Linked DNA regions of Anolis sagrei. The protein of the gene in region 2 purifies or fractionates together with the protein of the main gene of each other region. This does not show direct contact. Links are inferred from orthologs where the notes say so. Each region holds a gene or a part of one and is shown on either strand. Other genes may lie near its edges.

Region 1 (7,228 bases), on a different chromosome or scaffold from region 2:
AATAATGTGGTTGCAGGATACTCTGTTGCAGTCTAAAAGCAAGAAAGGATGTTTCTTCCCAAGAAAGATACAAATGACTCAATATGTGTCTGCTTTTAGCTCAATGTTGGGGTTTTAAAAAATTCTGAATATCACTTAGTGGCTGCTTTAGACATTTACACAAATCTGTTGTGCAGCATTTGCAGTGGACTCCACAAAAGATGCTTCAGCTATATTTCATGCAAAGGAAAATGAATCAGTTTAGTAAGTCTTACAAATACTTATTTGTTTATCAGTAAATGTGTCATTTTTATACCTATTTTATATACTTATATATGTATAAAAAATCTTTGTCTCACCCTGGTCATTCCACAGATATATAAACCCCTTTTTTCCCAGTTCCAGCAGACCTCACCTCTGAGGATGCTTGCCATAGATGCAGGCGAAACGTCAGGAGAAATGCCTCTAGAACATGGCCATATAGCCCGAAAAAAACCCACAAGAACTGTGTGTATAAAAAATCTCATGCCAAAAAGGGTCCCAAGCATAAAAGTTTAAGTACCCCTGCTCCAGGCTATACAGTTAGCCCTCCACATATATGGTTTTAACTTTTGTAGATTTGATTATTCACATATTTCATTAATATGGTCTGTTTAGGAATCTCTAGGTTCTTCAGAGTGACTTTATAGTTAACTTCTGCCTAGAGACTCCTAGAGATGTGTTCTTTTAGGTTTTAAAAATGTGCTTTTTATTTGTGTTTTCCCCACTTTTTCAGGAGTCCTGCAACCCCAAACCCAGCAAATGTGGATGGCCTTCTCAGTGGTGGCCCCTCACCTGTGGAACTCACTCCGGGGAAAATTAGGTCATCAACATCCCTTCTCTCCTTCAGGAGGAAATTAAAGACGTGGTTGTGGGACCAGGCCTTTGGGCAATCTGACAACTAGATAAGGACAATCAGATGACTAGGACTGACAAAGTGGAATTGGAAATTGGACTATGAGATGAGAACGCTGACCGTTAATTAGGTGTAAGTGGTTTTTATTGGTTTTATTGTTGTAATGCAGAAACTACTGCTAACTGTTAATTGCTGCTATGTTGTTTTATACTACTGTTATGTGATGCCAGCATCGAATTGTGCCTTTGTAAGCTGCCCTGAGTCCCCTTCGAGGTGAGAAGGGCGGGGTAGAAGTAATCAAAATAAATAAATAAATCTTAGAGCTCGCGCCGGTTCATAGAAGGAGATGCGATTGCAGAGATAGGTGGGGCCCAAACCGTTTAGGGTTTTATAGGTCATGACCTGCACCTTGAATTTGGCTCAGCAACTTATCAGCAGCCAATGAAGCTGTTTTAATAGGGGTGTTGTATGCTCCCTATAGTTTGATCCAGTAAGGAGCCTGGCTGCCGCCTGCTGTACCAGATCAAACTTCTGGGCCGTCTTCAAGGGCAGCCTCACGTAGAGCGCATTGCAGTAGTCCAGTTTGGATGTAACCAAGGTGTGGACCACCCTGGCCAAGTCAGACTTCACGAGGTATGATCGCAGCTGGCGCACAAGTTTGAGTTGTGCAAAGGCCCTCCTGGCCACCGCTGACACCTGAGCATCAAGCGATAGTGTTGAGTTCAGGGGGACCCCCAAGCTAATTCCTAGCAGCCTCAGGCCCCTTTTTATTTATTTATTCATTTATTTCGTATACTTCTGCCCCACCCTTCTCAGGCCCCAAGGGGGGACTCAGGGCGGCTTACAAAATGGCATAATTTGGTGCCTACACAAATACAACAACATATAAAAACAGCAATTAAATGGTTAACAATTAAAACAATTAAAACAACAATATATTTCACAGTCGATAGCCAATCTCAAGCACAGCGTTCGCCAACTCAGAGTCTATACTTCGTTCCACATTGTCTATTCCTATCCGTCGTCACAGTCCTGTATTCATCTGCCAGATTGCCCAAACGCCTAGTCCCACATCCATGTTTTTAATTTCTTTCTGAAGGAAAGGAGGGATGTTGCTGATCTAATTTCCCTGGGGAGTGAATTCCATAGGTGAGGAGCCACCACTGAGAAGGCCCTGCTCCTCTGTCACTTGTGACAGAGGCGGGGCCGAGAGCAGGGGCCCCCCAGAGGATCTCAGACTCCGAGGTGGGACGTAGAGGGAGATGCGTTCGGACAGATACGCTGGGCCGGAACCGTATAGGGTTTTGTAGGTCAAAACCAACACTTTGAATTGTGCTCGGAACTGGATTGGCAGCCAGTGGAGCTGACACAACGGGGGGTGGGGGGTGGTATGCTCTCTGTATGACGCTCCGGTAAGCAATCTGACTGCCTCCCGCTGGACTAATTGAAGTTTCTGAACAGTCTTCAAGGGCAACCCCACGTAGAGTGCGTTGCAGTAATCTATCCGAAGAGGGCTGGGGCTGTTAGGAATAGTGGGAGGTGAAGTCGAAAACACCCAGAGGGCCCAAGTTTGCCCATGCTTGATCTAATGCAATTGTCTGAACCAGTGAGCCACACAATAGCAGGCCAAAAAACCAAGAGACCACGATTAAAATGGGTTTGGGTTGGTCTGTGTGCTGATGAGGATGAAGTTGTCCTGTCCCTGTCTTCAGAGCATCCCTATGGCTGCCATTCAAGGGAGCATTCTCTGAGAGGGAGGGGCAGTTTTGGCTCTCACGGCCATGAAGGGCGACGTGAAACCCCTTGAGAGAGGAGAAGGCCTCTATTGCAGCCCATCCCTCCCTCCCTCCTTGGGCAGAGGCCGAGGGGCCTTCTTCCTATGCCTCCCCCGCCCTTGGCCTGCCTCCCACCCCGCCCCTAGCAACAACAAGCCCGAGAAGCGCAGGGCCCTGCGGGAAGGAAGGCCAGCCACGGGCAGAGGCTGCTGCCGACTCACCGGCATCGTGCCTGCGCTGGGCCAAGATGGCGAAGGCGGCACCACCACAGAAGGCCGCCCCGAAGGACCAGAGGCGAGGGAGACCCGGTCACCGGCGGTACCACTGACAATAACCGGGCCCAGCGCGCCTGCGCGGAAGGAATGAATGACAGCCCCTCACGCCACGCCCCGCCTGCGTCATGCAGAGGAGTCTCAGCCAATACGCAACGCCTCGAGCCAGCTCCCCCGCTGCTATTGGCCAAAGGTTAGGATTGGAACCGCCAATGGAAATATTGGTTTGGGCCTGGTGGGCGGGAGGAGCGGCGGGAGGGGCGTGGCTGGGCGGTTGGTTTTAAATGGGGAAGCGAAGCGACATCATGTGTTGCTAAGCGAGTAATTGGATTAGAAAGGGATGCAGGAGTGGCATGAAGTAAACACTCCCTAGAAGCCACGGCAACTACACTGGATTTACACCGGCTGTTAGGAATTGTGGGAGCTGAAGTCCAAAACACCTGGAGGGCCCAAGCTTGCCCATGCCTGATCTCCACAGTGGAATTAATCCAATTTGACACCTCCTTTGATTCAATGCTATGGAATGATGGGAGATGTAGTTTATGAGGAAGAAGGCAAAAGACCTGCTGGTAAAACTACAACTCCTATTATTCCATTGCTTTGAGCCATAACCGTTAAAGTGGGGTCAAACTGCATTAATTCTATATGTGTAACTGCCACATCGCAGCTGCCTTTTAAAAAGCCCTCGGAGAGGCAGCCGATCCCCATTCACTTCCAGCATTGCCCGCTCTCAGTCCTTCCCAACAGATTCAACAAATGATTCCCCTAGGCAGGAAGCAGCCAGGTTTTGAAGCTGCAAGGCCATTCAGTGTTAATTAAGGTGGCCAATTGCAACATTCAAATTTTCCTCCAGCAGACAAGAGTCCTTTCTCCCACTGGGAACATTCCAAAGATATGTAAACCTCACTTGCCTAGTTTCCAGCAGACCTCACAACCTCTGAGGATGCCTGCCATAGATGTGGGCAAAATGTCAGGAGAGAATGCTGACGTTTTGGCATCTATCCATCAGCCTCTTCACGTGATGTGAATATTTTGTTAGTGGTGTTAGTTAATGCATACACTTTTTTATAAATTATTTTTCATTTTCACTCTTGATTTTAATAATAACATGAAAATAAAAGAATGAAAATACTGATGATGTAGTAAATACAGATTAAAAAAAACAAAGGGGACAAACTGAGGGTGCATGGCTAGCTGTGTTCGGAAAGAATCGCAGCAACACTTTGCTGCTACTGAATGGATTCAGATTTAACAAATTGCATGTCCCATGGTTTTGACAAACTTCAGCTGCAATTCTGTACCTACTTCATGGGCCCTTCAGAGTCAGTGAAATGCATTTCTGAACACATAGAACTGGACTATATTTTTCTGTCACTGGCTATAACGGCATACAAAAATACTGCCTAGTCAAGATTGGGCTCTTAGATTGCCAGTATGATTAGGTGATTAGATGACAGCTAGTATGTACTACACACACACACACACACACACACACACTAGCCACCCCCCGCCACACGTTGCTGTGGCCCAGTCTGTGTGTATGTGTTTTATGTGTGTATATTTTTGTGTATATGTGTATATATGTGTTTGCATATGTGTGTGTGTGTGGTTTTGCAAATGTGTTGTATTTTTTATTTTTTGGCTTTTTGTGTTTTTCAGTGTTTTCATGAGTGTTGGCCTGATACGTGTATTGTGTCCAAATTTGGTGTCAATTCGTCTAGTGGTTTTTGAGTTATGTTAATCCCACAAACAAACATTACATTTTTATTTATATCCTAGCCATCCCCTGCCATGTGTTGCTGTGGCCCTGTCTGTGTATATGAGTTTTGTGTGTGTATGTATGTGTATATGTGTATATATGTGGTTTTGCGCATGCGTTGTAATGTAATTTTTTTTATTTTTAAGTCTCTTCCGCTGTGTTTTTCAGTGTTTTCATGAGTGATGGTCACTAGTTGGCCTGATAGGTGTCTTGTGTCCAAATTTGGTGTCAATTCGTTCTGTGGTTTTGAGTTATGTATTTTGCTTGTTTTATTGTGTTTGTGTTATAGCTTGTATTGTATTGATGGCCATGGCCTCATGTAAGCCGCACCCAGTCCCCCTGGGGGACATGTAGCGGGGTATAAATAAAGCATTATTATTATTATTATTATTATTATTATTTTATTGTGCTAATCCCACAAACAAACATTACATTTTTATTTATATAGATATTACATTTGTTCTTTTACATTACAGCTGTAAGCACAGTTACTGAGAACTACCTGCTATCTATTTCAATGGAACATATTTCAAGGGAGACAGATTTAGGGTTGCAAAGCTCTGCATTAAATGAAGGCAGGGCAGGCTGCAAGTCTTTTAGCATCCCCAAGGGCCCCCAAAGCTGCCAAACTGAAAGAAACTGCTCACAAACAGAAGCTTACCCCTCCTCCCCGAACCATCTCCCTGTATCAGTTGAGACCAGAAGTGACCAAACATGTCTGGACATGTGAGTGTGGCCCTCCAGGGTGTCATGAGGGTGAGAATCTGGCCCTATTCTCTGTGCAATTGCCCAACCAGTTAAGATCAAATCCATGCTACCTAAGGGCTCCAAACACTGATCCTGGAAGTCAGCCGCTAATGGTACTTGGATGGGAGATTACCAATGAATACCAGAGACAACAGGCTGCAGTTGAGTTTTCCCTCCTTAAGAGAGAATTTAGTATAAAGATGCTGATCAAGGACCTTGCCACCATCCATTCATTGGGACAGTAGGTTCAGCAGGCTACACATGTCTTCCCTAGATGAATGACATAGAGAATGTATGACTTTTATTAATAAAACTAGCTTGGGTACCCGGCGCTGCCCGGGTTATTTTAAAAGGGTATTGTTTGTTTTTGGATTAGAGAAAGGAATTGTATATCAAGGTTGGTCTTTATCAGTTATTTATATGGCTCGCAGTGGTCTCAGGAAGTTAGTGAAGGTACTGTGAGTCCTATCGTCTGTGGTCCATCATCCTCCAAACTGCACCAGGATGGAGAGAGGGTCATGGAGGCTCTGTGTGCTAAGTTTGGTCTTGACCAGTCATTGGATGAGGGTCACAGCAGTCTCAGAAAATGAGTTAAGGTACTGCAAGTCCCATCATCCATAGTCTCACTCTACATCACCAGAATGTTGAGTTGGCCATGGGGGCTCTCTGTGCCAAGTTTGGTCTTTATTGGTATTTGGATGAATGTCACGGTGGTTTCAGGAAGTGAGTGAAGGTACTGCAAGTCCCATCATCCATTATCCATCCTCCTCCAAACAGCACCAGGATGTAGAGTCTCTCATGGGGGCTCTGTGTGCCAAGTTTGGTCTTGATTGGTCATTAGATGAGGGTTGCAGCAGTCTTGGGAAGTGAGTGGAGGTACTTGAAATCCCATCATCCATAGTCTGTTCTCCCCAAACCTCACCAGAATGTTGAGTTGGCCATGGGGGTTCTGTGTGCCAAGTTTGGTCTTCATCAGTCATTGGATGAGGGTCTCAGTAGTTTCACTAAGTGAGCGAAGGAATTGCAAGTCCCACCGTACATGGTGCATCATCCTCCAAACCACACCAGGATGTAGAGTGCATCATGGAGACCCGGTGTGCCAAGTTTGATCCTTATCGGAAATTGGATTATGGTTGCAGTGGTCTCAGGAATTGAGCGAAGAGACTGCAAGTCCCATAATCCATGCTCGATCCACAGTCAAACCACACCATGGCGTAAAGTGGGTAATGAGAGGTCTATGTGCCAAGTTTGGTGTTGTTCAGTCATTGTTGAGGGTCGCAGCAGTCTCGGAAAGCGAGTAGAGGTACTTCAAGTCCCATCATCCATGGTATGCCCTACTCCAAAACACAGTAGGATGTAGAGTGGGTCATGGGAGCTCTGTGTGCCAAGTTTGGTTTTGTTCGGACATTAGATGAGGGTTGCAGCAGTCTTGGGAAGAGAGTGGAGGTACTTGAAGTCCTATCATCCATGGTCTGTCCTCCTCGAAAGTACACCAGGATGGAGAGTGGGTCATGGGGACTCTGTGTGCCAAGTTTGGTCTTGATCAGTCATTGGCAAGGGTCTCAGTGGTCTCAGGAAGTGAGTGAAGTGACTGCAAGTCCCATCATCCATTGTCAAATTCTTCCAAACCACACCAGGATGTAGAGTGGGTTATGTGGGCTCTCTGTGTAAATTGTGGTCCTGATCCATCATTGTTGGCAGTTATAATGGTTTTAGGAAGGGAGTGCAGGTATTGCAAGTCCCATCGTCCATGGTGCATCTTCCTCCAAGTTGCACCAGGACGTAAAGTGGGTCATGAGAG
Region 2 (7,993 bases):
TGTATATTTTAAGTTGTAATGTTTTTGGTTGTGAGCCGCTTTGAGTCTTCATATGGAGGCCAAGATGAAGTACTTTGGCCACATCATGAGAAGAAAGGAAAGCTTAGAGAAGACAGTGATGCTGGGGAAAATGGAAGGAAAAAGGAAGAGGGGCCAACCAAGGGCAAGATGGATGGATGGGATCCTTGAAGTGACTGGATTGACCTTGAAAGACCTAGGGGTGGTGGCGACTGACATGGAGCTCTGGCGTGGACTGGTCCATGAAGTCACGAAGGGTCGGAAAAGACTGAATGAATGAACAACAACAAAGGACAGTGAACTGGCCCTGGCTTAAAAAGTTTGGACACGCCTGATGGAAGGCATGGGAATTTATACAAATTGGGTTTTTGCAAGTGTCTGTACCTGTGTATGTAAAAGACTCAGAAAGCTCTAGTCATAAGAGAGTACTTTGTTGCCTGCTCCCATTCTTGTTTTCTTTTTTATTGATGTAATATCAAGATGTATTTGGACATACTCTGAAAGCATCTTGATCATGAAGATATATTTCTTGCCTTGTAAGGAATCTCCAAAAAAAATACATTGGCATTTTTATTTTATTTTATTTGGATATGAAGGGGGGGGGATAGCTGATGGCACTATTGCTGTTAGCTAGATGGAAACAGTTCTAGTAGTTAGGAATAGTTTACATGGATTTTCCTTTAAAAGTGACTTAAACTCGAGTGAATGGTATAATATGTTATACTTAATGTATTATCGAAGGCTTTCATGGCTGGAATCACTAGGTTCTTGTGGGTTTTTTCGGGCTATAGGGCCATGTTCTAGAGGCATTTCTCCTGACGTTTCGCCTGCATCTATGGCAAGCATCCTCAGAGGTACCTCACTACCTCTGAGGATGCTTGCCATAGATGCAGGCGAAACGTCAGGAGAAATGCCTCTAGAACATGGCCCTATAGCCCGAAAAAACCCACAAGAACCTAATGTTATACTTACTTTGTACAAGTTGCCGCCTACATACAGATCTAGACATGTTTCATTGTTTCTGAACGTATATTTTCTGTTTATATATGAGATTGTGTCAATTAATTAATTAAATAAATAAATAAAAATGATGGGAGGCATGGGCAAACTTTTGCCCTCCAGGTGTTTTGGACTTCAATGTCTATAATTACTAACAGTTTGGAATTGTGGGAGTTGAAGACCAAAACACTTGGAAGGCCCAAGTCTGCCCATGACTGATCAATCCCCTCCAATACTACTTCTGAACACCATTAACATGCAAGACATTGGGTAGCCCTATGGAGCTCTGTCATTGAATTGGGTTCTAATACCAGTTCTCACACTGGGGCTTTAAAGCAGGCAACCTTACAAGTTGGGAGTCTCCTGCCGCCTGCATTTATTTATCGTGTCATCAGCAACCGAAGCGGATTTTTAGCATAAGTATATGTTATGTAGTAGTAGTTTGTATGTATTGTCGTGATTTATTGTACACTGTCTTTTCTATGTTGCTGTTCACCGCCACGAGTCGCCCTAGGGCTGAGAGTGGCGGTCAATAAGTGCAAGTAATAAATAAATAAATAAATAATAAATAAACCATACCATTGTATTACATTTCTAACAGAAAACAAACACACAGATTAAAAAAAAACAACAAAAAACCCCACAGATTTTGCAAACTTGGTAGTTGGTTAAATGTCCTTTGACCAGTATCTGGCCACTTGGAGTGCCTCTGGTGTTGCCGCAAGAAGGTCCTCCATTGTGCATGTGGCAGGGCTCAGATTGCATTGCAGCAGGTGGTCAGTGGTTTGCTCTTCTCTGCACTCGCATGCCGTGGATTCCACCCTGTAGCCCCATTTCTTAAGATTGGCTCTGCATCTCGTGGTGCCAGAGTGCAGTCTGTTCAGCGCATTCCAAGTCGTCCAGTCTTCTGTATGCCCAGGGGGGAGTCTCTCATCTGGTATCACCCATGGATTGAGGTGCTGGGTTTGGGCCTGCCACTTTTGGACTCTCGCTTGCTGAGGTGTTCCAGCGAGTGTCTCTGTAGATCTAAGAACATTATGTCTTGATTTAAGTCGTTGACGTGCTGGCTGATACCCAAACAAGGGATGAGCTGTACATGTCTCTGCCTTGGTCCTTTCACTATTGGCTGCTACTTCCCGGCAGATGTCAGGTGGTGCAATACCGGCTAAGCAGTGTAATTTCTCTAGTGGTGTAGGGCGCAGACACCCCGTGATAATGCGGCATGTCTCATTAAGAGCCACATCCACTGTTTTAACGTGGTGAGATGTGTTCCACACTGGACATGCGTACTCAGCAGTAGAGTAGCATAGCGCAAGGGCAGATGTCTTCACTGTGTCTGGTTGTGATCCCCAGGTTGTGCCAGTCAGCTTTTGTATGATGTTGTTTCTAGCGCCACTTTTTGCTGATGTTCAGGCAGTGCTTCTTGTAGGTCAGAGCACGGTCCAAAGTGACTCCCAGGTATTTGGGTGTGTTGCAATGCTCCAGTGGGATTCCTTCCCAGGTAATCCTCAGAGCTCGGGATGCTTGTCTGTTCTGCCGCCTGCAGAATCCTGGGAAATGTAGTTTGGGAAAGGAGGACCTGTGTAGTTGAGAATGCCAAAGGCCCCGCCCTAAACTACGATTCCCAGAATGCTGCAGGGCCAGAGAGATGACACAATTAGATAGTACACTCCCTACACATAGAGCCTATTCATATCCAGCCAGAGGCCGCCCTCTCGCTTTGAGGCGACAGGCAGGGCACCCCCCCCCCCCCGCCCTCCAGGCCCGGCCTCGAAGCCCTCTCCCATTCAATGGGCCACCCTCCCCTCCTTTTCCCTTTGCTGAGGGGAGACGTTACCTTTTGAGGTACCGCGCGTCCTCCCCTTGCATCGCGCCAGAAGCAACACTGAGGCTCAGCGGCTGTGGGAAGCGAGGCGACAGACAGCCCTGTTGCCAAGGCGAAAAGGAATAGTGTGCACGCGTTGCGCAAGCGCCGGCCGTCACCTCAGGCGCAGGCGCAGAGATGAGCGCGAGGGCTGAGGGGACGAATCAGCGCCTTGCTTTGCGCAGGCGCGTGCGACATGAATGAAATCAGACCAGTGTGCTGCTCTCTCTCTTTTGTGAGGCGACTCTGTTGAGGCTCTTGAACTTCATTGAGCCTTGTCAGGGAAGAAGTAGTTTTGCATTCAACAGGACCACATTGCTTAGACTGGAGATACACATCTGCAATTATATCCTCAGTGTAGACCAGACACTCCTAAACTCTGGCCCTCCAGCTATTTAGGCCTCTATAGAAATATAGAGTTGGAAGAGGCCTCATGGGCCATCCAGTCCAACCCCCTGCCAAGAAGCAGAAAAATTGCATTCAAAGCACCCCCGACAGATGGCCATCCAGCCTCTGTTTAAAAGCTTCCAAAGAAGGAGCCTCCACCACACTCCAGAGCAAAGAGTTCCACTGCTGAACAGCTCTCACAGTTAGGAAGTTGTTCCTCATGTTCAGATGGAATCTCTTTTCTTGTAGTTTGAAGTCATTGTTCCGCGTTTTAGTCTCCAGGGAAGCAGAAAACAAGCTTGCTCCCTTCTCCCTGTGACTTCCTCTCACATACAGGGTGAGGCAGCATAACTTCCTTTTTTCAAAACTTAATAAATCCCATTGTATGAATCAGAATTTTTTTATATAATGTAGGCGCATATCTAAAGTTTTGTTTTACATAGTTTTGAAGATCAAATTAGGTAGGTGATGTCCCCCATTCTCCATACACTGAGTAAACAATCATAGAATCATAGAATCAAAGAGTTGGAAGAGACCTCATGGGCCATCCAGTCCAACCCCCCGCCAAGAAGCAGGAATATTGCATTCAAATCACCCCTGACAAATGGCCATCCAGCCTCTGCTTAAAAGCCTCCAAAGAAGGAGCCTCCACCACACTCCGGGGCAGAGAGTTCCACTGCTGAACGGCTCTCACAGTCAGGAAGTTCTGACTGTGAGACGACGAATTTGGATCACGAAAATGGACGACGAATTTGGATCATGCTTGGATGATGAGGCGATCGGGGATGGGATTTGTGATAACTGTGTATTGATGATTGTTTATTAGTTAGTAATGGAAATGTGTAATTTAACTGTTTTTGCATATTAATTATTGCTGTTTTTATTGTCTTGCTATTTGCTGTCTGGAAACCGCTGTGAGTCGCCCTCGGGCTTGATATATAGCGGTATACAAGAATAGTAAATAAATAAATAAATAAATAAACTGATTTCTGGCATTTGTCATGACTCTTTCCAGCATAGCAGGCGTTATGTTGGCAATTTCTTCCTGGATGTTGGTCTTCAAATCTTGTAGGGTTCTTTGATGTTTGACATAAACACGGGATTTCAAAAAAACCCATAAAAAATCACAAGGGGCCAAATCTGGAGAGCGGGCCGGCCACTCCAAATCCGCTCGAAAAGTAGGCCTCAACGGCAAAAGCACGCTCCTCACTGTTCCAACGCATGATGGCGACTGAACTGTGTCAGGAAAAAACTTTATACTCCTGCCTCTCGAACTAGACCACTAGCGCTCCGCTACGTCTTCAACCGACTGAATGGCGCACATTTTAATAAAGGAAGTTATGCTGCCTCACCTTGTACATGGCTATCATGTCTCCTCTCAACCTTCTCTTCTTCAGGCAAAACATGGCCAGCTCTTTAAGCCATTCCTCATAGGGCTTGTTCTCCAGACCCTTGATCATTTTAGTCGCCCTCCTCTGGACACATTCCAGCTTGTCAATATCTCTCTCCAATTGTGGTGGCCAGAATTGGACACAATATTCCAGGTGTGGTCTAACCAAGGCAGAATAGGGGAGTAGCCTGACTTCCCTGGATTTAGACACTATGCTCCTATTGATGCAGGCCAAAATCCCATTGGCTTTTTTTGCCGCCACATCACATTGTTGGCTCATGTTTAACTTGTCCATAAAGACTCCAAGATCTTTTTCACACGTACTGCTCTCAAGGCATGCGTCCCACAGCGTGTATCTTTGCATTTCATTTTTTCTGCGTAAGTGGAGTATCTTGCATTTGTCACTATTGAACTTCATTTTGTTGGTTTTGGCCCATCTCTCTAATCTGTTCAGATCTTTTTGAATTCTGCTCCAGTTTTCTGGAGTATTGACTATCCGTCCCAATTTGGTGTTGTCTGCAAACTTGATGATCATGCCTTCTAACCCTTCATCTAAATCATTAATAAAGATGTTGAACAGGACCGGGCCCAGGATGGAACCTACAGCACTCCACTCATCACTTCTTTCCAGGATGAAGAGGAAGCATTGGTGAGCACCCTCTGGGTTCGTTCGCTTAACCAATAGCAGATCTACCTCACCGTAGTTTTGCCTAGCCCACACTGGACTAGTTTGTTTGTTCAATGGTCAGGAATTCTGGGAGTTGGAGGCCCAAACAGCTGGAGGACTGCAGCTTGAGGATGCCTGTTATAGACCCATATAAAGCTGTTAAATGAATCATTTGGCAGCCTAAAACCCCTTCTATGGTAACCAGACCTTGTTCCAGTGAAGGTTTGAGCATTGGGCTCGCTGCTTAGCCACGGAAACCCAGTAGGTGAACTTGCGCAAGTCACACTCTCACAGCCTCAGAAGAAGGTAGAAGCAAACCCCTTGCTAAGAAGACACTTGTAAGTCACTATAAATCAGAAATAAACTCAAAGGTACACAACAGCAGCAGCCAAAACCCATTATCCAATGTGCTAAAAATCCTTTCAATACTGTTACAGTGACCAAGTAGCATCTTTAAAAATAAGATGGAACTATCCTCATATTACCTAGTTACAATGCTGAACAGTGAATCAAAGATCTCCTGCTGCCCTGGTACTTCGCCCATCATGATGGTGTGTGTGTTCTTTTTTAGCCAGAAGCCAGCATTTGAGTCGATTCTCTTTCTAGCAGCATTAGAAAAGAGGCATTACAGTTACTCAGGCCAATCTCAGTGACCAAGGAACTGTGACATCAGTATAATATCTTGAGACCCATTGGCTGACAGCAAAATGAAAGTTATTGACTGTGCATTAATGGGTAATGTTGCTATATCTCTCTGTTTGTTTTTCATATTAAACACATTAAGATTGGAATACTACACAAACTTTGAATGTTTTTATGGGATGACCTTGTTATTCTGAGAAGTATTGGTGGTCCAGTTTCTTTCAGTTACATTGTAAGATTTAAATGGCACAAACTAATATTTGATCAATGGGATGACATTTTCCATCAATAGCATTATCTTTCCACAGAGGTATTGTTATGTACTCCTGAGGCAAAACCCTGTGCTGATGACCACAGTGCTACTGAAAGGATTTTCCATGTGAGACAGACAGACTGAGATAAATAGTCTCTAAAAGCAGCAAAAGCAGTGTGTGGTTACATTGATGGCACATCTCTCGGAGACATTGACTGTGACATCATAACTAACATGTCTTAGAACTGCAGAAAACAGATGTTTGTTACCATTAAAATCCTATAATAAGAAAATTCAAATGAAATGAGATAGTGCTAGAAAATTAGACTTCCAAGTGGAAAGGCACTCAACAAACTACTGGGATAGAATAATAATAATAATAATAATAATAATAATAATAATAATAAATGAAACTGAAATCCAGTCACTGACCAACACAGTCAGAATCTTCAGCACTGACATCAATATGGAGTTCGGCCTAGACAAATGTGCGACAGTGGCATTAAAGATAGAGAAACTTACTCACAACAAGGGCATGCAGATACCAAATGGACAAACTATAAAATACAATCAGCCTGAAGCCTAAAAATATCTGGGCATACTACAGTTGAATAATATCGAGCATGGGCATGTGAAAAATGTGGTCAGCAAAGAATATATCCAAAGAGTTAGAAAGGTTTTGAAGAGCAAATTAAATGGCGGAAATACGATCAAGGTTCTCAACATCTGGGCCATCCCTGTCATTAGATACATTGCTGGAATTGTGAACTGGACACAAGCAGAGTTGGATGATCTGGACAGAAAACAAGAAAACTGATGACAATCCACTACTCATTACACCCGCATAGTATGTCGACAGACTTTACTTACCCAGAAAATCAGAAGGCAGAGGGCTTCTGCAAGTGAAACAAAGGGTAGAAGAAGAGAAACATGCACTGGCAGATTATGTGAAAGGCAGTTAAGAACCAACATTAAGGGAAGTCAAAAGTGCAAAAGACAAAGAGTGAATACTGTAAAAACACAATCCAGAGCAGAAGAGAAAACTGGTGAAAGAAGGCTCTCCATGGACAGTTCCTGGGAAAAATTGAGAGCCAAATTGACAAAGAAAAAACATGGCTGTGGCTCACAAATGGAACTTTGAAAAAGAAGACGGAGGTCCTGATTCTGGCAGCCCAAGAACAAGCCATTAGAACCAATGCCATCAAAAAAGTCAGAACTGAAAATGACAGATCCCAAGTATAGACTCTGCAAGGAAGCAGATGAAACAAAAGATTACATCCTCAGCTGCTGCAAGATCGTGCAAATAGACTACAAGCAGAGGCATAACACAGTTGCTCAGATGATTCATTGGAACCTGTGCCACAAATACAATCTGCCTGTGACAAAGAACTGGTGAGATCACAAGCCGGAAAAAGTTACAGAGAATGAACACGTCAAGCTACTCTGGGACTTCCGAATTCAGACAGACAGAGTTTTGGAGCACAATACTCCTGACCTCACAATCGTGTTAAAAAACAAAGTATGGATTGTTGATGTTGCAATCCCAGGTGACAGCAGGATTGAAGAGAAACAACTGGAAAAGCTGACACAATATGAGGATTTAAAGATTGAACTGCAAAGACTCTGGCACAAACAAGTAAAGGTGGTCCCAGTGGTGATTGGCACACTGGGTGCAGTGCCTAAAGACCTTGGCCTGCACTTAAACACAATCAGCACTGACAAAATTATCATCAGCTACAAAAGGTCACCTTACTGCACGCATTATTCGCTGAT

The links.
Region 1: the proteins of KIFAP3 (region 2) and KIF3A purify together in Homo sapiens (co-immunoprecipitation; 9 studies listed by BioGRID and IntAct, counting the BioPlex papers as one, with this or other methods). This does not show direct contact. The link is inferred for Anolis sagrei from reciprocal best matches to the Homo sapiens genes KIFAP3 and KIF3A.

Annotation. Positions count from the first base shown.
Region 1 is NC_090022.1:94,864,700-94,871,927, forward strand, and holds the start of KIF3A (kinesin-like protein KIF3A), read right to left. Parts: upstream 3,012-7,228; 5' UTR 2,877-3,011; coding exon 2,871-2,876; intron 1-2,870. UniProt on the Homo sapiens protein: Microtubule-based anterograde translocator for membranous organelles. Plus end-directed microtubule sliding activity in vitro. Plays a role in primary cilia formation. Plays a role in centriole cohesion and subdistal appendage organization and function.
Region 2 is NC_090024.1:130,829,031-130,837,023, forward strand, and holds the start of KIFAP3 (kinesin-associated protein 3), read right to left. Parts: upstream 3,020-7,993; 5' UTR 2,887-3,019; coding exon 2,855-2,886; intron 1-2,854. UniProt on the Homo sapiens protein: Involved in tethering the chromosomes to the spindle pole and in chromosome movement. Binds to the tail domain of the KIF3A/KIF3B heterodimer to form a heterotrimeric KIF3 complex and may regulate the membrane binding of this complex.